Canis lupus familiaris: one gene and its partners. The protein of the gene in region 1 interacts with the protein of each later gene in a biochemical or structural test. Links are inferred from orthologs where the notes say so. Each region holds a gene or a part of one and is shown in the gene's direction. Other genes may lie near its edges. The genes, in order: H2AC20, RNF8, UBE2B, RNF168, USP16, UBR2 and KAT2A.

Evidence for each region.
Region 2: of the proteins of H2AC20 (region 1) and RNF8, one has a biochemical effect on the other in vitro, tested with the Homo sapiens proteins (2 studies listed by BioGRID). The link is inferred for Canis lupus familiaris from reciprocal best matches to the Homo sapiens genes H2AC20 and RNF8.
Region 3: of the proteins of H2AC20 (region 1) and UBE2B, one has a biochemical effect on the other in vitro, tested with the Homo sapiens proteins (2 studies listed by BioGRID, with this or other methods). The link is inferred for Canis lupus familiaris from reciprocal best matches to the Homo sapiens genes H2AC20 and UBE2B.
Region 4: of the proteins of H2AC20 (region 1) and RNF168, one has a biochemical effect on the other in vitro, tested with the Homo sapiens proteins (4 studies listed by BioGRID, with this or other methods). The link is inferred for Canis lupus familiaris from reciprocal best matches to the Homo sapiens genes H2AC20 and RNF168.
Region 5: of the proteins of H2AC20 (region 1) and USP16, one has a biochemical effect on the other in vitro, tested with the Homo sapiens proteins (2 studies listed by BioGRID). The link is inferred for Canis lupus familiaris from reciprocal best matches to the Homo sapiens genes H2AC20 and USP16.
Region 6: the proteins of H2AC20 (region 1) and UBR2 form a complex in vitro, tested with the Homo sapiens proteins (2 studies listed by BioGRID, with this or other methods). The link is inferred for Canis lupus familiaris from reciprocal best matches to the Homo sapiens genes H2AC20 and UBR2.
Region 7: of the proteins of H2AC20 (region 1) and KAT2A, one has a biochemical effect on the other in vitro, tested with the Homo sapiens proteins (2 studies listed by BioGRID). The link is inferred for Canis lupus familiaris from reciprocal best matches to the Homo sapiens genes H2AC20 and KAT2A.

Annotation. Positions count from the first base shown.
Region 1 is NC_049238.1:59,831,278-59,833,569, forward strand, and holds H2AC20 (histone H2A type 2-C), read left to right. Parts: upstream 1-1,332; 5' UTR 1,333-1,384; coding exon 1,385-1,774; 3' UTR 1,775-1,792; downstream 1,793-2,292. Other genes in the region: H2BC21 (histone H2B type 2-E), read right to left, coding at 678-1,058; H2AC21 (histone H2A type 2-B), read right to left, coding at 1,930-2,292. UniProt on the Homo sapiens protein: Core component of nucleosome. Nucleosomes wrap and compact DNA into chromatin, limiting DNA accessibility to the cellular machineries which require DNA as a template.
Region 2 is NC_049233.1:6,586,602-6,590,101, forward strand, and holds part of RNF8 (E3 ubiquitin-protein ligase RNF8), read left to right. Parts: intron 1-1,160; coding exon 1,161-1,268; intron 1,269-3,426; coding exon 3,427-3,500. UniProt on the Homo sapiens protein: E3 ubiquitin-protein ligase that plays a key role in DNA damage signaling via 2 distinct roles: by mediating the 'Lys-63'-linked ubiquitination of histones H2A and H2AX and promoting the recruitment of DNA repair proteins at double-strand breaks (DSBs) sites, and by catalyzing 'Lys-48'-linked ubiquitination to remove target proteins from DNA damage sites.
Region 3 is NC_049232.1:22,535,474-22,538,973, forward strand, and holds part of UBE2B (ubiquitin-conjugating enzyme E2 B), read left to right. Parts: intron 1-396; coding exon 397-477; intron 478-2,425; coding exon 2,426-2,451; intron 2,452-3,500. UniProt on the Homo sapiens protein: E2 ubiquitin-conjugating enzyme that accepts ubiquitin from the ubiquitin-activating enzyme E1 and transfers it to a E3 ubiquitin-protein ligase. In vitro catalyzes 'Lys-11'-, as well as 'Lys-48'- and 'Lys-63'-linked polyubiquitination.
Region 4 is NC_049254.1:30,253,054-30,256,553, reverse strand, and holds part of RNF168 (E3 ubiquitin-protein ligase RNF168), read left to right. Parts: intron 1-1,234; coding exon 1,235-1,414; intron 1,415-3,500. UniProt on the Homo sapiens protein: E3 ubiquitin-protein ligase required for accumulation of repair proteins to sites of DNA damage. Acts with UBE2N/UBC13 to amplify the RNF8-dependent histone ubiquitination.
Region 5 is NC_049252.1:24,570,350-24,574,559, forward strand, and holds the start of USP16 (ubiquitin carboxyl-terminal hydrolase 16), read left to right. Parts: upstream 1-1,410; 5' UTR 1,411-1,546; coding exon of another isoform or gene 1,547-1,565; intron 1,566-1,807; exon of another isoform or gene 1,808-1,947; intron 1,948-2,064; exon of another isoform or gene 2,065-2,477; intron 2,478-4,210. UniProt on the Homo sapiens protein: Specifically deubiquitinates 'Lys-120' of histone H2A (H2AK119Ub), a specific tag for epigenetic transcriptional repression, thereby acting as a coactivator.
Region 6 is NC_049233.1:11,480,380-11,483,879, forward strand, and holds part of UBR2 (E3 ubiquitin-protein ligase UBR2), read left to right. Parts: intron 1-690; coding exon 691-792; intron 793-2,334; coding exon 2,335-2,476; 3' UTR 2,477-3,500. UniProt on the Homo sapiens protein: E3 ubiquitin-protein ligase which is a component of the N-end rule pathway.
Region 7 is NC_049230.1:20,651,322-20,655,401, forward strand, and holds the start of KAT2A (histone acetyltransferase KAT2A), read left to right. Parts: upstream 1-1,280; 5' UTR 1,281-1,990; coding exon 1,991-2,527; intron 2,528-2,666; coding exon 2,667-2,790; intron 2,791-3,126; coding exon 3,127-3,272; intron 3,273-3,383; coding exon 3,384-3,473; intron 3,474-3,755; coding exon 3,756-3,937; intron 3,938-4,058; coding exon 4,059-4,080. Other genes in the region: HSPB9 (heat shock protein beta-9), read right to left, coding at 614-1,075. UniProt on the Homo sapiens protein: Protein lysine acyltransferase that can act as a acetyltransferase, glutaryltransferase, succinyltransferase or malonyltransferase, depending on the context.

The DNA of each region.
Region 1 (2,292 bases):
TAGGGAGGGATTTCAAAGCTTCAAAGGGTTCGGCGGACACCAGAATCCACGACTTTGGGGGCCGGCGCCAGATTTTGAATATTCATACCGTCCAATCACGAAGAGGCTATAGGAGTCGAGCGCAGGCCCCGCCCCCGGCGCCCACACCGCGGGGTCCACGGGAGGCCGCGCCGCGCCGCAGAGGCGGTGACCGCGCCAGGCGGCTTGGCTGCCGCACGCTCAGAATTCTTCGGGGCTGGTCGCAACGTTCCCGGGACCCGGGCTTAGCTGATCCTTTCTTAAAGGACGACCGAAGTCACCCAATTTGATTTAGAACACCAGTGAGACGTCCACCCCAGAGCGGCCAGGACGCAATAGTCCGGCGACGGGAGGTGGGGAGATTTTCAGTATCCTAATTCGAAGGAGTTTGTAGAACTAAGCAGCAGTTACGGGGTTAAGACGCGACCCAGATTAGAAAGCAAAGCCAGTCACGCGCCGGGAATCTCCAAGTACGAATGGCTTGAAAAGCTCCGCGTACTACCTTCCACCTTCCACAAGGAACTTACTTTGTGAGAAGAAAGTGAAGGGTAAAATAAGTGAACAAAGCTCTTTTCAGGTGATTAGGTGGGTGGCTCTGAAAAGAGCCTTTGGAGTCAGGCGGCCGGCGACCCCGGCGGGCGCCGCGTCCCGGCAGGGACTCACTTGGAGCTGGTGTACTTGGTGACGGCCTTGGTGCCCTCGGACACGGCGTGCTTGGCCAGCTCGCCGGGCAGCAGCAGGCGCACGGCCGTCTGGATCTCCCGGGAGGTGATGGTGGAGCGCTTGTTGTAATGCGCCAGGCGGGAGGCCTCGCCGGCGATGCGCTCGAAGATGTCGTTGACGAACGAGTTCATGATGCCCATGGCCTTGGACGAGATGCCGGTGTCGGGGTGCACCTGCTTCAACACCTTGTACACGTAGATGGAGTAGCTCTCCTTGCGGCTGCGCTTGCGCTTCTTGCCGTCCTTCTTTTGAGCTTTGGTGACCGCCTTTTTCGAGCCCTTTTTGGGCGCGGGAGCGGATTTTGCAGGCTCAGGCATTGTAAAGGAGCACACGCGTTGGGGAAGAAAGGAAGTGCGAGAATGGGCGGGCCTGAGCCTTTTATAACCACCGTATGCAAATAAGGGCTCCTAAAACCTTTCGTTTCCATTGGGCCTTGTGGGGACCTTGCGTTATCAGCAACAGCTGCGTCACAACACCTACTCTTGGCCTCATTGGCCGGTTCTGGAGCCAATTTAGGACCAATGAAAACCTCGTTCCTGACCCCACCCCTAGCAAAGCTTATAAAGGCTTTTCCATCGCTCATCTTTCGCTGCTGTTTTGTTGTCAGGTCTGAGCTTTAGGTGTTTTAACCTCGCTAGCAATCATGTCTGGTCGTGGCAAGCAAGGAGGCAAGGCCCGCGCCAAGGCCAAGTCGCGCTCGTCCCGCGCCGGCCTGCAGTTCCCAGTGGGCCGCGTGCACCGGCTGCTGCGTAAGGGCAACTACGCCGAGCGGGTGGGGGCCGGCGCTCCCGTCTACATGGCGGCCGTGCTGGAGTACCTGACGGCCGAGATCCTGGAGCTGGCGGGCAACGCGGCCCGCGACAACAAGAAGACGCGTATCATCCCCCGCCACCTGCAGCTGGCCATCCGCAACGACGAGGAGCTCAACAAGCTGCTGGGCAAGGTCACCATCGCCCAGGGCGGCGTCCTGCCCAACATCCAGGCCGTTCTCTTACCAAAGAAAACTGAAAGCCACAAAGCCAAAAGTAAATAAATCCTGACAAGCCAAAGATCAAAGGCTCTTTTTAGAGCCACCTAAGCTTTCAAAAAAAGAGCTAGTGGCGCTATTTCGTTACCAGCCCCTCAATTGACATTGTTGGTGGCTCTTAAAAGAGCCTTTGGGGTTAGTGGGGATGCTCTCAATCCCAGTTACTTGTTCTTGCCAGGCTTGTGACTCTCCGTTTTCTTAGGTAACAAGACCGCCTGGATATTGGGCAGGACGCCGCCCTGGGCAATGGTGACACCCCCGAGTAACTTGTTGAGCTCTTCGTCATTTCTCACGGCCAGCTGCAAATGGCGAGGGATGATGCGCGTCTTTTTGTTGTCGCGGGCCGCGTTGCCCGCCAGCTCCAGGATCTCGGCCGTCAGGTACTCCAGCACCGCAGCCAGGTACACCGGGGCGCCGGCCCCCACCCGCTCGGCGTAGTTGCCCTTACGCAGCAGCCGGTGCACCCGGCCCACCGGGAACTGCAGGCCGGCACGGGACGAGCGCGACTTGGCCTTGGCGCGGGC
Region 2 (3,500 bases), on another chromosome or scaffold:
TTGTTTTGTTTTGTTTTGTTTTAAATACCATCAGGACCAAACTAAACAAATCTGCCAGCCACATGCAGTCCACAGGCCATCAGTTTGGAACCTTTGACATGAAACCAGTACCTGAGGCTGACTACATCTCTCAGCCTACCCTTCCCTATCCAGACAGGCCTGGAGCAGAATACAGAAAGGAGATTCAACTTTCATTTGGTTTGAGATCTTTATCTTTTGTTTAAATCACATAGTACCTTCTTTCTTAATTCCCAGAAAACCACCACATCTTTTTAAACCTAGCAATTTTTAAGTTTTCAGGGAACTTGACTTTAGTTAAAATGGGTCCAGACCTCTTTGCTGCCCAAAGCAGTGTACAGTCTTTACTTTGATTAGAAGAGATAAAAAAAAGATGAAAAATTAATCAGCCCCTCAGATATATCCTAAATGGCCTTTCCTTTCCCTTCAGGGGCTTCTGACACTTTTGGTCTGGGGATGAGGTGCTAAATTAGAAGCAAGAGAAAACACCTAGCATCCCCACCCCCAAAAGTGTGTCCACAAGTGGTCTGACCTCTTGGGGAAAGGAAAGGGAAATTGGACTGCAGACCTACAGGAGGAGGAGGTGGCAAGCATCATACAGCTTAGATCCCAATCAGCCCCCTGCCTCCAGGGAGTATAAATAACATCCTTATTTTGCAGAAGAGGCAGCTGCAAGGAATACAGGGGGCCTTATAAATTAATTCAGGCTTCCTGCCTCTATGGAGTGTTTTTCATGTCTGCTTTCATGTCCAGTGAGTTCTTGGTTGCTTGAGATGATTTTATATCACCTCTAAACTGCCATTGGTTATAGGATACATAAAGCCTCATTCTGGTCTTGGGTGGTTGGTGTGCTGAGTATGCTACCTTCAGTTTTTCTCATTTGGTTCTGGGAAAGGAGACAGAACCTGTGGTGCAAATGCAGAAGAAGTGGAGAGAGGAAAGAAAGGAAGACAGTGCCCTGTATCAGAAAGCAGTTCTGAGAAGCCATAACCCTTAGGGAAAGAGTTTTAGTATCATGTTGCTGTGCCAGGTTGAATTTTTTATTTAGAGTCCTGAATATTATTCCAAACAATTGCTCCCTGTCCTGTTTTGCATTCTCGTCGGTTCCCCCAAATGACAGGTGGGGTTGTGTGTCTTTTCAGGAAGAGAAGGAGAAGATGCAAGCCCAGAAGGAGGAAGTCCTTAGCCACGTGAATGATGTGCTAGAGAATGAGCTCCAGTGTATTATTTGCTCAGAATACTTCATTGAGGTAATTATAAGCAGTGGCTCATGCCTTTTTGTTCTCTCTACCGCACGGAGCCTCAGCTACACAGGTTCTGCCCTAGGGAAACATTCTGAAGCGATTTTTATTCTAGGAATCTGTTGTAGTTACTTGACTTCAAAGTGACCTCGAGAGATGGCCATATCTCATTTGTTTTTGTAGTTTTCTTCACCTTCACTGATCTTTTTCTCATTTTGCGTGATGTTGAGTGTTTATTTGGTACAATCACTATTTTTAGCTGCAGTAAAGCCTGTATTTCTTTGGTGTTGGGAGAAAACAGGGCCACATGGTATTAGATTTTTGAAGTATCGGTGTAAAGCTACTCTATAAAGCTTTTCTTTCTTTACTCTGAATGGACACAGTGCTGAGAGTAGGCAGCTCGTGCAGCCTGTGACGGGGTGGTAAATGTCACTGATGTGTGGTCACTTTGGGACTTCAGCAGCCAGGTGGAACATATTTCAGGGACTCTGAGGCTCCCTATGAAAACAAAACCTCTTCTAGGTTACCATTTGTCATCATGTCATATTTTTCCTTAGGACTTTATTTTTCACAAATTCTACCATTTGTGACCAGTTCATCATACGCCATTCATCTGAAACTCAAGTTAAATGACAGTGCTTTTCAGACTTCTTTAAAAAGGAAAATGCATGCACGCACTCTGTCCTCCTTTCTGGTAGTCTCTAGGGAGGTTGAGTGTATTAGCCTCCCGAGAAATCCCTCCTGGGCAGATCTGTTTCTTTTGCTGTGGATCAAATTGACACCATTTCCCCCATTGTTTCTAGTTATTTAATTCCCTACTTTGTAGAAACTCAGTCTGGCTTTGACAGGGCTCTGCTGGAGGAAGGCCAGGGAAGGGGGGTTCAGAAAGGTGATCAGTTAGCCCACCCAGAGCATCTCTACCGATGTAGAAGAGACAACCTGACCCATGCTTTGTTTACAGCAGACTGTCTGACCTTTTCCATGATCACCTTGTAAAGTCAGTATCGGAAAGAAGTTTTATTTTAATCAGGTTTTTAGTCATGTTTGTGAGGATTTATCTCACATAGTTAACAAAATAACTCCTAGTTGACTTTCTGTGCTCAACTTGGCATTTGAAAAATGCATAATTTCTGTTATTTTCCACTGCTATCCTTAAAAGCAGGAATGAAGACTTTTGAGCCTCAGAAAAACTTGTATTTTAGGAGATGTACATAAACAACAGTAATAAAGAGCATGGTTTTTATATTTTTAGAAGCAGATAGGGCAGGGTGCCTGGGTGGCTCAGTTGGTTAAATGTCTGACTCTTGTTCTGGCTCAAGTCATGCTCTTAAGATCAGGGGATCAAGCCCTGTGCTGGGTGCAGAGTCTGCTTCAGATTCTCTCTTCTTCTCCTTCCCTCCCTCTCACTTACTCACTCTCAAGTAAATAAATAAAATATTTTTTTAAAAAAAAGGATCTTGTTTAAAAGAAAAGTGGAAAGGACCCTGGCAGAAATCTGACCATTGGAGTTACTTAGAGGAGTTACTCAGATTTAGACTCCCTTCCGCTTTCCCTCTTCTCACAAGTGTATTTACTTGATTCAGTCACTGTCAGTGAACCCATTACATTTTTCCCATTTTTTCAGTTTCTTTTTTCCCAGCCTTTTTAGTTGTCTTTTAACATGTATTCTACTTTTTAAGTTTCTTTGAGTACAGATGATGCTTTCTACCATTCTATATACTGAATATTCAGAATGTGCTCCCCAGCGTCTATTAAAATTGAAGTTCTGGTTCACCATTAGCAGGCTATACATTTGTTTTCCATGAAAAAATTGGTAATGTATTTGTACCAAACATTCACACACTTACAAATCATACTTGTGTCCAGTGACATTTGTTTGCAAGGTAGCTAATCTGGCATTGGCAGTGTCATCTGAGTTGGTGGAACAAGACAGACAAATCAGCCTACATCTATGAACTTACCTTTGAGAAAGAAAATGAATCATCTAACTTAAAATTTCCTATCCCCAAGAACAATTTTAATACCATCTGTAAGCTTTCTAGATGGGATTAGAGTTAAATTTCCATTTGGCCTTGGCAGTGAACTCCTGTCCTAGCTTTGAGATCACAACTGTGCTGGGAAAGTAAGTATGATAGTTCTGATATGTGTGTTCACATTCCCATTGTAGGCTGTCACCTTGAACTGTGCCCACAGTTTCTGCTCCTACTGTATCAATGAATGGATGAAGCGGAAGGTAGAATG
Region 3 (3,500 bases), on another chromosome or scaffold:
GCGGGGGTGGTCATGTTGCACAGGTAGCTGTGGTTTGGAATCAGACCGTCTTTGCATCTTTAGAGCACCAAAAAAGGTGGTCTGTGAAAATCGGACTCGGGGCCTTTAATTTTTGTTGATGGCATTCTGTGTGTATCACTTCTCAAAGGTACATCTTAAGCTTGATATTCAAAAAAGGATGAGTCCAAAGGCCTTTGGAATTTTAGTCAATTTGGAGAGGTGTTTAAGAAGTATATATGTGGTTGATTTCTTTTTTTTAAAGTCATATTATTTTCCCCCTAAGCACAAGAACAAGGAAATGGTGTTAAAGTAGGTAGAATAGTCCATAAGGGTTCTCTTTGGCCTTCATAGCGACCTTAATGTTCAACTTTGAAAATTACTACTCTGGATTTCTAGATTGCAAGAGGACCCACCTGTGGGTGTCAGTGGCGCACCATCTGAAAACAACATTATGCAGTGGAATGCAGTTATATTTGGGTGAGTGGAAAGATATAAAAAATGATAGGTATAGTAATTCTTTTAAGAAAAGTGAATGTAGCAAGTAGGCAAAGAGGCTGAGGTGGAATTGAGGGCTCTTACAGAAACTGCAAAGTAAATTAGAAAAGAAATTCTGTTAAGTATTTCTGCAGTTAACTAAAATTTGTGTTGTATTATTTATGATTTTACAATCACTTTGGGTTTTATCTGATAAAAATTAAACAAGAAAAGGTAAATTATTGTACAGAATAAATTGTACCAAGCAAATGTTTATGCTTGCATTCTTTTGGAACTGTAAAAAGACTAAGAACTAAAAAATACCCAGAGCTTCCAGTGTGGCAAGAATTCATGAGAAATGTATCACATGTTATATATATAACACTTTTTTTTTTTTTTTTAATAGAGGCAGGAGTAGAGGGGGGAGAGAGAGAAAATCTCAAGCAGACTCCACACCACGTGCCAAGCCCAACGCAGGGCTCCATGGCACAACCCTGAGATCATGACCTGAGCCCAAATCAACCACTGAGCTATATGGGTGCCCTGTATATATATGCCTCTTAATTTAAAATTTCCTTATGTCTTTTATTTTTCTGGACTTGATCTCTTTTTCTTTCACACTTTTTAAAACCAGGGGTTTGTACTAAAACCTTAAAGGTACACCTTCATAAACAATTCTGAGTAGCCATTGAATTAGTTATGAAACTATATTAAATACTAGTGGAAAAATGAGTGTAGTTTATTCTTCTAAAGAGATTATATTTGGGGTACCTGGGTGGCTCAGCAGTTGAGCATCTGCCTTTGGCTCAGGTCTTAGAGTCCTAGAATGGGGTCCTGCATCAAGCAGGAACCACCACCACCACCACCACCACCACCACCCCACCCCTGCCAATGGAGCCTGCTTCTCCCCTCTGCCTATGTCTCTGCCTCTCTCTCTCTCTCTCTCTCTCTCTCGTGAATGAATAATAAAATCTTTTTAAAAATAGATTACATTAAATTCAGGCTAACATGCTTTGAGGTCCTGAATGTGCCTTGCAAGAAGAAATAACGCTTGATGGTGCTGCTTAGGAAAGATGAAATTGGGGTATGGAGGCAGGGAAAAGGTTTGAGCAAAAGAAAGTGGCTTTCTTGGTTACATCAGTTCTCTAGCTGTTTTGAACAAGAGGTGTTGCTTTGTTGGGAAGCAGGATGCTTGGTTTGGTGTTATATAATTATCTTGCAGGGGCATTTCCATCTTATTGATGTGAATTGAAAATATGATTTTTTCTCTTAAGAATATACTTTTACAAAGTGACTGGTTGGTATTTATGAACTGAATTGGTGCTAAAACTATGAGGCTTGTCTTTGTAAATCCCCCCTAAAATGAAAACCTAGAATAGCTATCCTTTATGCCTATCTCTATAAAAATCTAGAGCTAAGATGGTACTAAACTATCAGTATCTTTAAAACTCCACAAATCATTAGAATAAGCCCCCTCTTTCTCTGTGTGTTTATCCTTTTGACTCTTAAAAATCAAGAAAAAGAGGGGTGCCTGGGTGGCTTGTATGGGCAACTGATTCATCATCTCACCTCAGGTTTTAAAAGGTTTTTTTTTTTAATTTTTATTTATTTATGATAGTCACACACACACACACACACACACACACACACACGGTGCGGGGGGGGGGGGGGGCGGGCAGAGACATAGGCAGAGGGAGAAGCAGGCTCCATGCACCGGGAGCCCGACGTGGGATTCAATCCCGGGTCTCCAGGATCGCGCCCTGGGCCAAGGGCAGACGCTAAACAGCTGCGCCACCCAGGGATCCCTCACCTCAGGTTTTAGATCTCTGGAGTTAGGCACTGTGTTGGGTTCTGCATTGGGCCTGGACCCTACTTAAAAAAAAAAAAAAAAAAAAAAATTAGGAAAAGGCAGAATGAAACATCTTTTAATCAGAAATCTTCTTGTTTTCAGACCAGAAGGGACACCCTTTGAAGATGGTAAGTCATTCTCAATTATGTTTTCTGTAATACTAGGACGCTGCGTTTAAGTAAATAATTGTTAACACCAACATACTTAAAACTATTTTCTGTATCAGCTTGACCACCTCCATTGCCAGTTCTTTGTGTTACTTTGGTATTTGGCTGTAGAACTGTAGGCCTAGATAGTAGGTTAATGGTGGATAATGGTGCTTTTTTAACATTGTTATCTATGTTGATAAAGTGTCAAGCTGAAATTGTTCTTAAACTTTCATAGCTGAGGCATCTGGCTGGCTCATTCAGTAGAGCACGTGACTCTGTCTCAGGGTTGTAAGGTCGAGCCTCACATTTGGTGCAGAGATTACTTAAAAATAAAATAACTGAAATCTTAAAAGAAAGTAAGAAAGACCTGCCAGTAGCTTCACATACAGTTGGCTTTTGACACCCATAAGTAGCATTCTGTGTATAATCTTTTTACTTCTTAAATTTAGTATTTCCACCAAAAGCCAGGAAAATGGGAAACTGGTCCTGATACGTATTTATAATTGCACTTTTCAAATTGATTGTAATCGGGTTCTTAGATTTTCTCTAATTACAGCATAGATTTTTAAAAATTATTGAACAGATTTGTTTTAATTATCAAAATGTCTCCAGAATTAACCCATTGAAAATATTTGAACAAAGATACTATTTTTTAAGGAGATAACCTGAATGCTTAATAGGGGAAAATGGTTAAGCAAATTATGAGGTATCTATATTATGGAATATTATGTACTTGTTGAAGAATAATAAGGCAAATCTGGACATATGTCTCGAGACAAAGTTTTAGAAAAACGTATATTTTTACTAAACACATATATCCAAGTGTGTGGGTATTAAAGGGTTATAAACCACACCATTATCAGTGGTTTCTTCTAAGTGGGGATAAGGAATTGAAGAGAAGTAGCTCTAAGGACTTCAGCTTTTTGCACTGTACCAGGGGTTCTCAGGTGGTCCATAAACCCCCTTCAAGTCCCTGAGACTTTCTTGGGTTCCTTATAATTAAAACTGTCTTTATAATTTAAGACATT
Region 4 (3,500 bases), on another chromosome or scaffold:
TTTTTTTTTTATTTCCCTGAAGCTTTGAGTTTAAAGCATGGAAAAAAGGTGGTAGATTATGGGTATCTTCTTCCATTGGGGCTGCCATAACAAAAATACTGTAAACTGGGTGGGTAAACAAAAAGCATTTATTTCTCAGAATTCTGGGTCTGGGGAGTCAAAGATTGAGACACAGGCAGATCTGTTGGATGAGGACTTGCTATCCTGGCTTGACCACTGCCTATTCCTTGTGTCCTCACATGGCAGAGGAAGAGATTATTTCCCTCATATTTCTTCTTTTTTTAAAAAAAGATTTTATTTATTCATGAGAAACAGAGGCAGAGACACAGGCAGAGGGAGAAGTAAGCTCCCTGTGGGGAGCCAGAGGCAGGACTCGATCCCAGGACTCCGGGATCACATCCTGAACACCCTGAGCCGAAGGCAGATGTTCAACCACAGAGCCACCCAGGTGCCCCAGGAAGTACAGTTTAAATTACCACAAACATGGCCTCGAGTCTTAGAATTTGAGCTGGAGTCTCTACTCTGCCATGAGCTCAGAAAGTTATTTGCAGGCAGCCGTGGTGGCCCAGCGGTTTAGCCTTCAGCCCAGGGTGTAATCCTGGAGATCAGGGATCGAGTCTCATATTGGGCTCCCTGCATGGAGCCTGCTTCTTCTGCCTGTGTCTCTGCCTCTCTCTGTGTCTGTCATGAATAAATAAAAATCTTTTTTAAAAGAAGCTTTAAAAAAAAAGTTACTTGCTTTTCTGTCTGCTCATCTGTAAATCACATAATCACCATTGTGGTTGCTTCTTCAGCAACCACTCCAGTCCCACCCACTGTGCCTGGGGGCTTCCTCCTAACTTCAGGATAACAGTGTAGTTGAAGGTGTGGTAGGTGAAGAGGAGTGGAGGTTTGATGAAGATTTCATAGGGCTGACTGGGGAAGGCTTCCTGTTTTGTAGGAATTTGCTTTCATATTTGTACATCATTTGAAACATTGTAATTCCTGCCAATTTTTTCTTTTTTTTATTACTTTTGCTGTTCTTCTCAAGAAACGTTGCAAGTATAGGAGCACCTTAGTGGCTTGTTTGGTTAAGCATCCGACTCTTGATCTCTGCTCAGGTCTTGATCTCAGGGTCATGAGTTCAAGCCCTGTGTTGGGCTCCATACTGGATGTGGAGCCTACTTAAAAAAAAAGTTAAATATATTAAATATTTAAAAGTTCAGAGAATTGTTCTTTATTAATCATTTTTAAGGTGGAGGCAGAGCGACGAGCTAGTGAAGAAGAAGAAAACAAAGCCAGTGAAGAATACATACAGAGATTATTAGCAGAGGAGGAAGAGGAGGAAAAACGACAGGCAGAAAAAAGGCGAAGAGAGATGGAAGAGCAACTGAAAAGTGATGAGGAACTAGCAAGAAAGCTAAGCGTTAATATCGTAAGTTTTAGGAGAGAACCGTGAAGTATTGATGTTCCTATTGCTTTGACTACATGGTTTTTGGCTTCCTTCCTTCCTTCCTTCCTTCCTTCCTTCCTTCCTTCCTTCCTTCCTTCCTTCCTTCCTTCCTTCCTTCTTTTCTTTCTTCTCTTTCTTCTCTTTCTTTCTTTAGGATTTACTTATTTATTTTAGAGAGAAAGAGAACACAAGCAGGAGGGGCAGAGGGGGAGAGAGACTCCAGCAGACTCCACACTGAGGGTGGAGCCCAACCTGGGGCTCCATCTCACAACCGTGAAACTACGTGGGTTTCAAAGATCTGAGGAAGTTCACCATGAGTAGAAGTGATTTTTAAAGATTTATTTATTTATTTATGATAGACATAGAGAGAGAGAGAGAGGCAGAGACACAGGAGGAGGGAGAAGCAGGATCCACGCCGGGAGCCCAACGTGGACTCGATCCCGGGACCCCAGGATTGCACCCTGGGCCAAAGGCAGGTGCCAAACCGCTGAGCCACCCAGGAATCCCCTACTAGAAGCGATTTTTGACATATATGTTCTAATTAAAACAAAATTTTTTGCGTATTATTACATTTTTTGCATGTTATGTATTTGCTCTGAAGTACATGTGAAAAAAATCCTAAGTATTTTAGTAAATTCAGAGTCTGTAGGAAAGTTATTCACAGTGAAAGCTTCCTCTGTCCCCTCCCACCTCCATATTCTCATTCCTTTTCCATTACCTCAGTCTCCCCAAAGGTTAGCACTAAACAGTTCCTTAATTTTTCTTATTCACCTAAAAATAATGTATCAGTCACACTCCGTTTTTTTCTTGCCTGTTTTCACTTGGTATATCTTAGAGATTGTTCCTGTAGCTACACAGTCTTATCTAAATCTTTTTAAGAGTGGCAAAAACATTAAATTATATGGATGCAAATCACTTTTTGAAAGTGAAGCACATTAAATAAAATCTTAAAAAGAAATGGAAGTGAAGCACATTAAATTTTTAAGTAATACGCTAGACCTGGATTTTATTATTTTGCTGTGTAGTTAAATTACTGCCTTGGGAAAGATGAATAGAAGGATGATAAAACCATACTTTGAGTCCTGAGGGTACAGTGCGATCCTGACAGAATCACCAAAGGTTCTTTTAAAATACAAATTCCCATACTTTTTCTTTTTTTTTTTTAATTTAATTTTATTTATGTAATCCCGAGAGACAGACAAGAGGCTGAGACGCAGACAGAGGAAGAAGCAGGCTCCCTGCAGGGAGCTGATGCGGGACTCGATCCGGGGTCACACCCTGAGCACCTGACCACCTAGGTGCCCCCCATACCTGTTCTAAGTCTACTGTATCAGATTCTCTGGGGGTGGGATTCTCGGAATACCTTTCCCAGAGGCATCTAGGGAAGCCTGGTGTGCACTCAAGTTTGAGAGTATCTAAAAACAATTCCTGTTTATAAACAATAAATATCTTAAAATATACTTAACAAAACAAAATATATCTAGAATTGAGTTTTTTTTTTTTTTGGAGAGGCCTACTATTCATAGTGTACCCAAGTTTTAGATTATATATCCCCCCCTTTTTTTTTTTCAAGAGGGGAAAGTGGGTCAGAGAGGGGAGAGAGAATCTTAAGCTTCACACCCAGCACACAACCCAGAGATCATGACCTTTGTGAAGTAGAGTCAGAAACTTAACCAACTGAGCCATCCTGGCACCCCTGCCCTTTTTTAAAAAAAATATTTATTATTTATTTATTTGAGAGAGCACAAGTCAGGGGGAGAGGCAGAAGGAGAAGCAGACTCCCCTCTGAGCAGGGAGCCCAACACGGGGCTCAATCCTAGGACCCCTGAGCCGAGGGCAGATGTTTAACCAGTTGAGCCACCCAGGCGCCCCACCCTTGCCCTTTTTAATATATTTCTTCTTTTTAAAATTTTAGTGGAATAGTTTTAAAAAGGTACACAATTAGGAAATTTAAGACATTGATCAATAGAATAACAAATGACATAAGTAAAAAAAATACACCAGAGAGGAGAATCTGGGGTCATCTCTGCCTGTAAAGAGTCTTGTTCTAATCCTTCTTGTTTTTAAT
Region 5 (4,210 bases), on another chromosome or scaffold:
GGAGGTGTGTGTAGGGAGAGAAATATATATCTAAAAATGAAAGAAAAATACTAGATAGTGATTATTACTGGGTAGCGACATAAAATAAAGTGAGGTGAGTGATCAGGTGGCTACATAACCTAGATTGCCCAGCCAATTTCTCTGTGAGAAAGTGACTTTTAGGGCAGCCTCGGTGGCTCAGCGGTTTAGCGCTGCCTTCAGCCCAGGATGTAATCCTGGAGATCAGGGATGGAGTCCCACGTCGGTCTCCCTGCATGGAGCCTGCTTCTCCCTCTGCCTGTGTCTCTGCATCTCTGTGTGTGTGTCTCTCGTGCATAAATAAATAGTCTTTTTTTTTTTTTAAAGTAGCTTTAAATGTGTGAACAGAATTATAATAGCAACCACAGAAGATCATGGGGAGCAGCATTCTAGGCAGAGGAAGCAAGAAGAAGCAAGCAATGTCCCTAAGGCTGCATTTTAGAATAGAAAAAAAAAAAGAAATGCCTGTGTGCTGAGTGAAGAAAACTTGAAAAAAAAAAAAAATCTTATCAGCAGTAAAAAAGCAGGAGAGTCAAATGTAACCCTTGTGACTCTGGCCAAATTGATCAGGTGAGGATGCCACTTTCTTAATCTACCTTTATCGGATTACTAATAAGGATGGACATTTCGTCCTATCTCTTAACGACCAATTGTCCTTTTATTGTGAATTACCTGTGCGTCTCCCTTGCCTATTTTTCGGTTGGCGCTTGCATCTCCCCCCCCCCCCCCCCCCAGCGATGGTCTTGTCTTCCGTAGATTAACGCCCCAGAGCAGCGAGCCTGTGTTTATTCAATTCACTTCACATGGGCCTCGGCACTTAACATATTTTGAACGGACACACAGTAAATGGAAATTTCACCTTCAGTCGGCAAGACGATTTATGTTCCCAACCTCAGAAGTCGATCGGACACAATGAGGGCAACTGCGTGAAATGTAAACGTTATTTACATACGTTCACGTTCAGACGTGATGTAAGGTCAGGAGGATGTCATCCAGGAGGTTCCAGGTCTCTGACCACCACCAGGTACGCGGACTTCCGAAGCATTTCAATAATCCCTTAATTACTTCAGAGGCAGGGATACTGGGCAGCCCCGGTGGCTCAGCGGTTTAGCGCCGCCTGCAGCCCAGGGCGTGATCCTGGAGACCCCGGATCGAGTCCCACGTCGGGCTCTCCGCATGAAGCCTGCTTCTCCCTCTGCCTGAGTCTCTGCCTCTCTCTCTGTGTCTCTATAAATAAATAAAATCTTAAAAAAAAAAAAAAAAAAAGAGGGAGGGATACCGACCGCCCCCAGGCTCCTCCAGGCAGCTGCGTCTGAACTTCCGGAGGGAACCGCGCGCAGGCGCCAACGAAATAGCGTCGGCGCCGCAGGCCCCGGGGGCGGGGCTTAGCCACCTCCCATAATGCCGCGTACCGGAAGTTGTTGCTTTCTGGGGGTCAATCTGGCTTCTGCTCTGTCGCTCTCTCTCCGTCATCGGGAGGAAGACGGAGCTGGCTGCCCAGCCCGCGGGCCCATTAGGGGGTGCAGCTATGGGCGCTGTCGCCGTGGGTGAGTTCTGTTCCCACTGCCTCGCAGTCAGCGCTGGCACGATGTCCTGCGTCTCGAGAACCCGAATCTCCTGCCTTTAACCTCGTTCTCCTCCCGAAGGCTCCTCTTCCCAAAGCACGTTACCCGGCCTCGGCCCGGTACCGCGTTCTCATTGGCTTCATGTCCTGTCTGTTCCAGGAGCTGGCCAATGAGTTGTCGGTGCTGGCGCCCTGTTCGACCCCGGACCCCCAGGCTCCCCCGTGGGTGCGGAGCAGTTGGACGGGAAGGGGAGGTGTGGCAGGCAGCGCGCGGCCCGGAGCGCCCCGACACGTTGGGGTTGGGTTCCATGTGGGGGTTAGTAGGAGAAGCCGGGTCTGTCATCTCTCCGGTTCAGGGAACTAGGGTAGGTCACGGCTACGCCGAACTTGAAAGCCGCACTTCAGACCTGCTGACAAAACTTTTCCGAACGCTCTTCCTTTTTTTTTTTTTTTTTGAATGGGTTTCGAGCTGGCATGAGAAGGCTGGGAAGGGACGAGAACGGGTTAGTTACGCGAGCCGGCAAGACCAGCTTCGATTTAAATTTTGTGTGGAGTCCTGCAAAGAGTCACTTGGCCGAGAAGCTGACTCTCGTCTGTCGACTCATCTGAAAAACTTCACAGATTTATTGATGATGCTTTATAGCTGGTGGTGCTTGCCAGTCTCTTTTCTCGACTCCTTTGATGCCCTTTGCAGCCGCGAACGATGTATTGCAGCGCTTTCCGCAGCTCTGAAGCGAGCCCCTACCGTCCTCTCCCTGGAGTAGTTACAATCAGTCTTTCAAGTTTTTCTTTGGAGGCTGGGCTACTGCAGTCCTCAGACCAGATTTGCTAGTGGGGACGAATTCACTCGTTACCTTTTTGTTTTTCACCGGAACCTGTTTGCTTCATTCTTAGGGTATACCTACCTTTGTACCTTATAATCGTTTATTTTTTATTTTTTATTTTTTAATGTCTCAGGTAGTATTATGCTCTTTCTTTCTGTTTCAATGCAAGAAGTATTTCTTGAGAAGTATTTCTGTATGTACCGACGCTATGTTAGATAGATGCTTTTTGGCAATTCAGAAGTGATGCCTGAAACCGCCTCTTTCTCCTAAAACTTTAGATTCCAGATAGAGAAATAACAGGTGTCCAGATCCAAAATTTAAGATGTAGCCCATCGGATTAGGGAACAAAGTGAATAGTGCACATTTATAAAGGTTGGGGAAGTTCAGTTGAGAGGTTTATTTAAAATAGAACGGTTGCCTAAGGCTTCATTGAAATGGACATTTTGGAGAATTGGTAAGATTTGGATAGATGGAGGCAACCTTCCCAGCTAGAGATCACAGGCTTAAAGGTGTTTTTGGAGAGACTGGCTTGATGAGGATGCAAAGAGTGGTGGTCTTGGAACCGAAAGAGCTGGGTTTTAATTCCATCTCTGCCGCCCTGTAGTCTTCCATCACTTTTGTTTTTGAGTTTTGTTTTTTTTTTTTTTTTTTTTTCCTTTAGCAAAATTCTCCATTTAAAGGGTTATTGTGAAAATCAAGTAAGATAATGCTTATGAAAAGGCTTTGAAGATCAAAAGCAGTGTATAATTAGAATGGAACTTTAGTGGTTCTTTGCTGAGAAGTAATGAGAATCAGGATTACCAGAGCATTGAGGACACTTTGTAAAGGACCGTGAGTGCATAGCTCAGGAGCATGGATATGATGAGAATGGCATTATTAGAAGGAATATCTAGTACTGGAATGCAGCACAGATTAGAGGTAGTTGGATTGGACGCAAGAACTTGGGTACTATTTTTTTTCCCCTTAAAATCTGTAATTCTAGAGAAGATAAATTACATAACATGTTATTTTAGGGTGACAGAACTTACTTAAAATATACCCTAGTTTTATATATACCCATATCCTTTGTGTTTTTTGTTTGTTGTTAGTTAACTCATTTATTTTGTTAACTTGGAGCCTTGTTACATTTTAGATGATCCTTGGAAGGTTTAACAGTTGCTTGATGTGGTACTCCTTTTTCATATACATCTTTTTGAATTAACTTCACTTACACTAACCAATCAAGAGCTAAAAGAGGGATAATTCTAAAACCTTAGCCAGGACAGGATGACAGCTGAGTATCAGAATTAATTGGGAAGGGTTTTCAAAACCTGTCTCCCAGGTCCTACTTTCCACTTAGGTAATCAGAATTTTAATAAGCATCCCAGGTAAAGTAACTATTACAGTCATTTAGGTGATGTTGACACTGAGCTTTTGATGTGAAGTACAAGTTTTCCAAATCATTATTTAAAGGTAGGTAGATCTATATACTTTCAACAGTTTTCATGTTTTCTAGTTTTGAATTGTTGACTAAGGAGGAGAAGATTTGTTGTGCAGCTAGGTTTGTCATAGTCTTCCAAAAAGATTTTGGCAGTAATATAATAGTGTAAACAGTTGAGAATGCACTTGTAATAAATTCTCAGTTAGCTAATAACCCACAGGGAATACTGGTATGGAAAATGTGGAACAGTGGATCACTTTTTATATTTAGCTTTGGAATTTGTAAATTTTCTAACTCCATTTAGTAGATTATCTTCAGAATTTTTTGAAATTTTTCTTGGAGAAATTATCAATTTAATTTGCATAGACTGCAGAGCTAAGCAAG
Region 6 (3,500 bases), on another chromosome or scaffold:
ACATGTTTTTTAATAACCCTTTAAAGAAATAAAAATGTCTCTTGTCTGGCATATTTCAAAATTCTTTCAGTCATGTACAGTACTGCTTTGTGTTTCAAATCAACCTAATTCAGAATGTTTTTGTACATTTTTTTTAAATGAGCAGTTCGCACATAATAGTGGTTAAAGTATCAGTATCTATGTTTAAAAGTTAACTATCTGGGGCAGCCCCAGTGGCGCAGCGGTTTGGCGCCGCCTGCAGACCAGGGCGTGATCCTGGAGACCCTGGATCGAGTCCCACGTCGGGCTCTCTGTATGATGCCTGCTTCTTCCTCTGCCTGTGTCTCTGCCTCTCCCTCTCTCTGTCTCTATGAATAAATAAATAAAATCTTAAAAAAAAAAAAAGTTAACTATCTCTCTTACACTTAATAGTTTTTTAAATGCCAGTATTACATGAGCCACTGATTCCTAATCTAAAATATTCCTCTTCCTCACTATATTGATTTACAATGCAATCATTATTGGGTATAATACAATCATTTTAGTTATTTTTAAAATTTGGGCAGATGTGTTGATACTTCAAGTATCTCTGCTATAAAGGCTGTTTCTTCTAACACTGGGGTTGTTTATTTTTTATAAGACTTCAGTCCATTAGGAACTGAATCCAAACATTGGTTACTAATCTGTACTGTATAAATGGTCTCTCTACAGAGTGCGGGAATGTCAGGTGCTATTTTTAGCTGGCAAAACCAAAGGCTGTTTTTATTCTCCTCCTTACCTTGATGACTATGGGGAAACTGACCAGGGACTCAGGTAAGAGCCCATCCTAGGGCACTGGGTTGGCTGATCCTGGGCCTCTAGAGCCTTCAGTACACTGATCAGTCCTAGTGATCAGGGAGTCTGCTTGTCCCTCTGCCCCTCCCCCACTTGTACTCTCTCTCTTTTTCTTTTTCTTTCTAAAATAAATAAATAAGAATGTCATGAGGGCAATCAGGACAGATAAGGGAAATAATAAGAGAAAAGCAAGTTTTTTCCCATTTGTCACTCCAGAGAACCATTGAAGTAGCCTGTTGTGACTTGTATGACTTTGTAAGAGGAGACCCAGTGTTGTTCAGAAGTTATAAAAGAGCAAATATTAATTGATAAGAGATGTGTTTGGGGCATCTGGCTGGCTCAGTCAGTAGAGCATAAAACTTTTGATCTCAGGGTCATGCGTTTAAGCCCCACATTGGGCATAAAGCCTACTTGAAAAAAAGAGAGACGTGCTTATGTTATTAACAAGAATCTGAGGGCAGCCTGAGTGGCTCAGCGGTTTAGCACCACCTTCAGTCCAGGGCGTGATCCTGGAGACCGTGGGGTCAAGTCCCATGTTGGGCTCCCTGCATGGAGCCTGCTTCTCCCTCTGCCTGTGTCTCTGCCTCTCTCCCCCTCTCTCTCTGTGTCTCTCACGAATAAATAAATAAAATCTTTAAAAAAAAAATCTGAGGACAAAGATGTAGAACATATAGAGCAATACAACAGTATTTGAGGCTTAATCACTTCTACTCTGGTTGCTTCTATTATATCATGAGAAAAATGCTAACAACAGTTCCCTCAAGCACTATTAACTTCTTCTAGACCATCTCTTTGCCCAGAGGAGGTGAAAGTCTTAACCTAGGTAAAACCATCCAGCCTTGGGAAGCAGAAAATTAAGAACTGGAAACCAAGGCAAGATAAGTAGAAGGCTGCCCCAGGGGCTTGGCTACAAGGTTATGCACGTAATGCCACCTGGTGATGGTTCTTCCATTGCCCTGAGGAATGTGGGCTCTTAGGAGGAAGAGCCCTGGTTAGAGAGTAAGAGGATTGTGTGTGCTCTGAATCAGGAACAAAGGCCACCAGCATGAACTCATCAAAACTTCTATGGTTAAATTAGACCCAGATGTTATTCACAATTGCCTGCCTTGCTTACTAGACTTTATGGCTAAAAAACAGCACCATGGGAAACATTTTTACTTCTGCAGTTCTCTTTCCATCTCCCCTGCCTCCTTCAGTCTTACTTTTTACCAACAAAGTGGATAATGAATAGGTAGTTGTAGCCTCTCCACCCAGACCCTCCTGCTCAACCCTAGCCTCTCTTCCCTCACCATAATCTGAGTAAGTGTAGCTCCTATACATTTTCCTCTTCTTTTCAGTACTTACTCCCTTCAGCTGCTCCTAGCCAGCCTTCAGAGCTAATGTGTTAATAGCCACAGTCTCATACCAAACAGGAATTTTGCAGAGGATCTTAAACCAGTAACTTGTAACTGTTCCTAAAAGTTGGGGTATAATAGATGAATAAAAAGAATGCATCCTGAATGACATGCGTCTTCCTTCTAGACGGGGAAATCCTTTACATTTGTGCAAAGAGCGATTTAAGAAGATTCAGAAGCTTTGGCACCAGCACAGTATCACGGAGGAAATTGGACATGCACAGGAAGCAAATCAGACACTGGTTGGCATCGACTGGCAACATTTATAGTTACTTCACTACCAAAAACATAAACTTGGATTTTTGTAACCCAGTTGGCTTTTCAGGAAAGAATAGGAAATAAATTCTACTGAATTTGGAAATAAATTCTATATTTAAGCTTTTCTTCCCAGTTTTGTTTTCATAGTTTCTGGCTCCAGGGACTGATGAAAATCATCTTCCATCAGTGGATTTTCTTGCACCGTTTGCTGTGTCCCTCAATATAACTGCTTGAGTTTTAGAATTCAGCGAGGAATTTCTCTTCCCAGGCTGGGCACAGCCCCTTTGTGGGCGTCTAACCGCTTTGACTGTTCCCAGTAGTCTGAGCCATGTTATGTTACTGATCACAAGGCACGCCAGGCCTGAAGCTGATTCGACAGCAGCAGGAAACAGTCTCTGTGGTCTGTTGGGGTCACATTTCCTGGTCCCTTTCAGTGACTCTCAACACTGGGACTAGGTCGCTGTCCCCTCTGCTGACAGGACCCTACCTCTAAGAGCAAAGCAGTGGATTTTGAAAGTGGCTATCCCTGTCTCCATTGGCTATGAGCAGGTTGGGGCACATGTGCAGGAAGAGCCTGTGGGATGGAGAGAGCCTGGTTGCTTCATATGCTGGGTGGTTTTCAGGGCTATAAAAGTTGGATTTGTGGGGGGAGGGGGGCAAGACTTTTGGCTTTGAGAAAAAAACTCATTTTAAAGGGCTTTTTGAAAACTTAGACTATCCTAATTTCTCAGACAATATATTCCCATTTCTAAGACTAAACCAAGAGATTGTATGCATCTAGAATCAAACTAGAAGAAAAAAATGAGAATTCAGTGTTTTGAGGTTCCCCTACCCTTTCTAGCATTTCCTGGAATAGACGAATTACTGTTTACCTGCTGGCTCACTTAGTACATTCCTGGGACAGCTTTTGGGCCCAGGGTTTTTATTATTTTTAAGCATTATTGTTCTTACTAAGAGGTGCCTTCCTAGAATGATAGCCGCTTAGTAGAATAGGTTTTAACTGTTACATACCACATAGCCACTCTCATTTGATGT
Region 7 (4,080 bases), on another chromosome or scaffold:
TGAATCTCCCCAAGTTTGAAATTGAGGGCTTGTATTAGCCTTGCCCCCACCCCCCTCCAGATTATATTGGGGTGATGTGCAGTTTGTATTTGAAAATAGTTGGTCTCTGAAACAACAGAAACCACCTCTTGGGGTTTTTTGGTTAGTCTGTACCTTGTGAAGGACTGGGTCTTCTCATCCTCTTCCCAGGTGATCTCTGGAACCTTTGCCTGGTCTTCAGACCAAGAGACCACCCCACATCAAGTCCAGTCTTTGTATCTATCTGATCTCTGGTCTGCCGGGGCCCTCTGCTGGTTGTGGAGCCTGGTGCCCCCGCTGCCATCCTGGCCCTCTGCTGCTCCCTGCTGGAGCTGCTGCTGTCATTTGCCCAGCACAGGGCTGTTGGTCTACTGAGCCCCGGACCCAGCTCCTCCCGGGGCCACAGAGGCCTGATTCTTGTTGGACCACCACCGTAAAGTGCTTTTCCTGCCTCCCTAAGCCCTCCACTGGCCCTCTCTCTACCTCCATTATGCCTCCACCTTTGATCCCAACCCCAAGAAAAGACCACAGAACACCAAGGCTGCTGCTGCACACTAGAATTGTTGTTTACTGGGTCAGGGTAGGTTGACCTTTCTTAGAGCCATGGCCTCGGAGTCTCGGGGATGGGCCTTTTTGGGCTTCCTGGGAAGGCAGCGCCCTGGCACTGGCCTCCGACGCACAGCTGGCCGGAGGGGGTCATGCTGCAGGTCACGGCAGTGGGATCCAGGTCCGGTGGTAGTTGGATCTGCCGATGCACCCTCTGCGCCACACGGTAGCCAGCCCCATCTGGGCTGCAGCCCTCCAGTTGCCTCTGGCCGGTCACCATCAGACATTGGCCGTCCACTTGCACCACCAGCTCCTCCGGGGCAAAGCCACAGGCATCCACCTTCATCTGGAAGCCATTCTCTGCATGGAAGTTGTTCTGCGCAGTCACCACATCGTCCCTCAGGAGCCGTACGGGCAGTGTGGCCACCTGGTTCTGTTGGGCAAGGGCCACGCTGGGACAGCGGGATGCCACCTGGCTCCCGCTGGGGAGACCGCTACCAACCCGCTGCATCCGACTGAGCAACTGCTGTCCGAGGGCGAGGGCGCGAGGCCCTGGGCGTGGCTCTGGGCGCTCGGTGGCGGCGGCGGCGTGGGGGGGGGGGGGGGCGGGGGTGCGGCTGCGCGCCCTGGGGAGAGGCCCTGGGGCGGCCTGGCTCCTCCGCTCCTCCGCGGCCGCCTGCTACGCCAGTCCGGTCTCCGCAGGCCTGGTGGTCACCGCCCTGGCGCGCCACTGCTGCTCTCATCCTGGCTCCCGGGGCGGTGACCCACCAGCGCAGACCAGCCGACCCTGTAGCGCTCACCAGCGCAGGGCGGAGGCGAGATGGAGCCGGGCTCTTGCCCTTCCCAGAATCAGGCCTGAGGACAAGAAGGGCTGTCCCCTGAACCGAGCCCGGGGGTGTGACCGTGAGGGTCTTCCATCCTGACCGCGCACGGTCTTGTGACACGGGGCTTAGGAGGTGACCGCGACTTCCTGGTTTCCTTCATTCGTCAGACTCTGGGTCTACTGTGGCCGCCTGAGGGCTGGGCTCTGGGACAGAAGGAAGACGCGAACCCTGCCTTCAGGCGCTCACGGCTTTTATGATAATCCTTTATTGCTGAAATATAACATAATAGAAGAAGCGCACCAGAGAGTACCACTGAATTATCCCCCAGAGAGCACCCCCATGTAGCCACCTCCACGGGGCAAGAAATGGAAGTGTTGCTTCTTAATCTCCGCTGTGGCTGCACTTCCGTGTCCGCAGACGTGTGGGACAGGGACAGGGGGTGGAGGGGCGGAAGCCAACACGACCCCGGGCAGCATCTGTGATTCCCCTCAACAGGAGCCTGTTTTCTCAGATGCTCCTCCAAGTCCCCAAGAAAACGGCAATCCTCGCTATCCCATAAGACTTCAAAGAGATTAGAAGTGAGGAGGAGACAATCTAGGGTAATGGCTCAGGCTTCACTTGCTTGTCTGGGGCCAAGAGGCAGGACAGAAAAGTCTGGAAGCCAGAAACGGAGGGAGCGGTCGTGGAAGACTACAACTCCCATCATGCTCCGGCGCAGCGACGCCTGCGCACCGAGCGCCGGTTGCCCATGCGGCCCTAGGGCTAGGAGCGCCGCGCCGCGCTCCGCTGCGGGGGAGGCCATGGCGGAACCTTCCCAGGCCTCGACCCCGGCTCCGGCCACGCAGCCCCGTCCCCTTCAGTCTCCAGCCCCTGCCCCACCTCCGACTCCTGCCCCCAGCCCGGCTTCAGCCCCGACTCCGGCTCCCACTCCGGCACCAGCCCCCGCGCCAGTTGCAGCCCCAGCCGGCAGCACAGGGACTGGGGGTCCCGGGGTAGGAAGTGGGGGGACCGGGAGCGGAGGGGATCCGGCTCGACCTGGCCTGAGCCAGCAGCAGCGCGCCAGCCAGAGGAAGGCGCAAGTCCGGGGGCTGCCGCGCGCCAAGAAGCTTGAGAAGCTAGGGGTCTTCTCGGCTTGCAAGGTGGGGGCGGGGCCTGGGGTGAGAAGGGGCGGGGCTTGGGGCATCCCAGGGCTCCGGTGGGAATGGGGGCAAATCTGTGGCTGGGGATCGGCTCCCCGTGCCCGGTTACAGGGCTATTGACCGAGTTTTCTAACGCCAGGCCAATGAAACCTGCAAGTGTAATGGCTGGAAAAACCCCAAGCCCCCCACTGCACCCCGCATGGACCTGCAGCAGCCAGCTGCCAACCTGAGCGAGCTGTGCCGCAGCTGTGAGCACCCCTTGGGTAAGGCAGGTAGTGCCCTTGGAGCTGGGGCGGGGGCAGGTCCTGGGGCCTGCTTGGACAGGATAATTTAAGTGCCACTGAGTTTTATCTTTGGAACCAAAAATGCCTCCGAAGGAGGGATTGGGTTGGGAACATGTATCCCTCCCAAGGGAAGAGAAAGGAAATTTGCCAGCCCGGAATAGACAGGGTCCACCCAAGGCTGACATAGTAGCAGTCAGTCTCACTACTGGTCATGCTGTTTGGAGCTACCAAGGTTGTAAATTGGTGATGAAGAGTGAGAGAGAGCTCTCGTCATCTATCCTTTCTTTCCAATCCTACCACCTTTCCTTCTTGCAGCTGACCACGTGTCCCACCTGGAGAATGTGTCAGAAGATGAGATTAACCGGCTGCTGGGTATGGTGGTAGACGTGGAGAACCTGTTCATGTCTGTTCACAAAGAGGAGGACACGGACACTAAGCAGGTCTATTTCTACCTCTTCAAGGTGAGCTTCATCCAAGTGAGTGTGAATGAGCAAAGGAGGTGGGGCTGGACTGGGGAGTTTGCAGCTCTGAGCTCCACTGACCTCTACTCCTCCCTCTTCCTCTTCCTCCAGCTCCTGCGGAAATGCATCCTGCAGATGACCCGGCCAGTGGTGGAGGGCTCCCTGGGCAGTCCCCCATTTGAGAAGCCTAATATTGAGCAGGTGGGATGAGGAAGGTAGTAAGAGAATTGGGGGCATCTTGGAGGAGTGAGGAGCCTGTGTTCCCCATCTTCCTCAAGCTGAGAACAAGGGACAGGTTCAGAGAAGGGAGGATGTTCAAGATGGGCATGGGGCTGGGAAGGGGGCACAATTTTTCTTCACAGAGAGCCCGAGTGAGAGGGGAGCTTTAGCCTGCCCTCAGGAAGCACCAGATTTTGTATAAGAAACCCCTGCTGGCCGCTCACGTCTCCTTCCTGGTCTTGTTCCCTACCCACCCCTTCTCAGGGTGTGCTGAACTTTGTGCAGTATAAGTTTAGTCACCTGGCTCCTCGGGAGCGGCAGACGATGTTTGAACTCTCAAAGATGTTCCTGCTCTGCCTTAACTACTGGAAGCTTGAGACTCCTGCCCAATTTCGGCAGCGGTCTCAGGCTGAGGATGTGGCTACTTACAAGGTCAATTATACCAGGTAGGGCTGGCCAAGGCCAGCGGGGGGTGGGGGAGGGGGTAGGGGTGGGGGTGCTTGTGCTCGTAAGCCCAACCTGGGTTTAGTGTCTCCATTCTCCATCCTACCTCCCCTCTGCCCGCAGATGGCTCTGCTACTGCCACGTA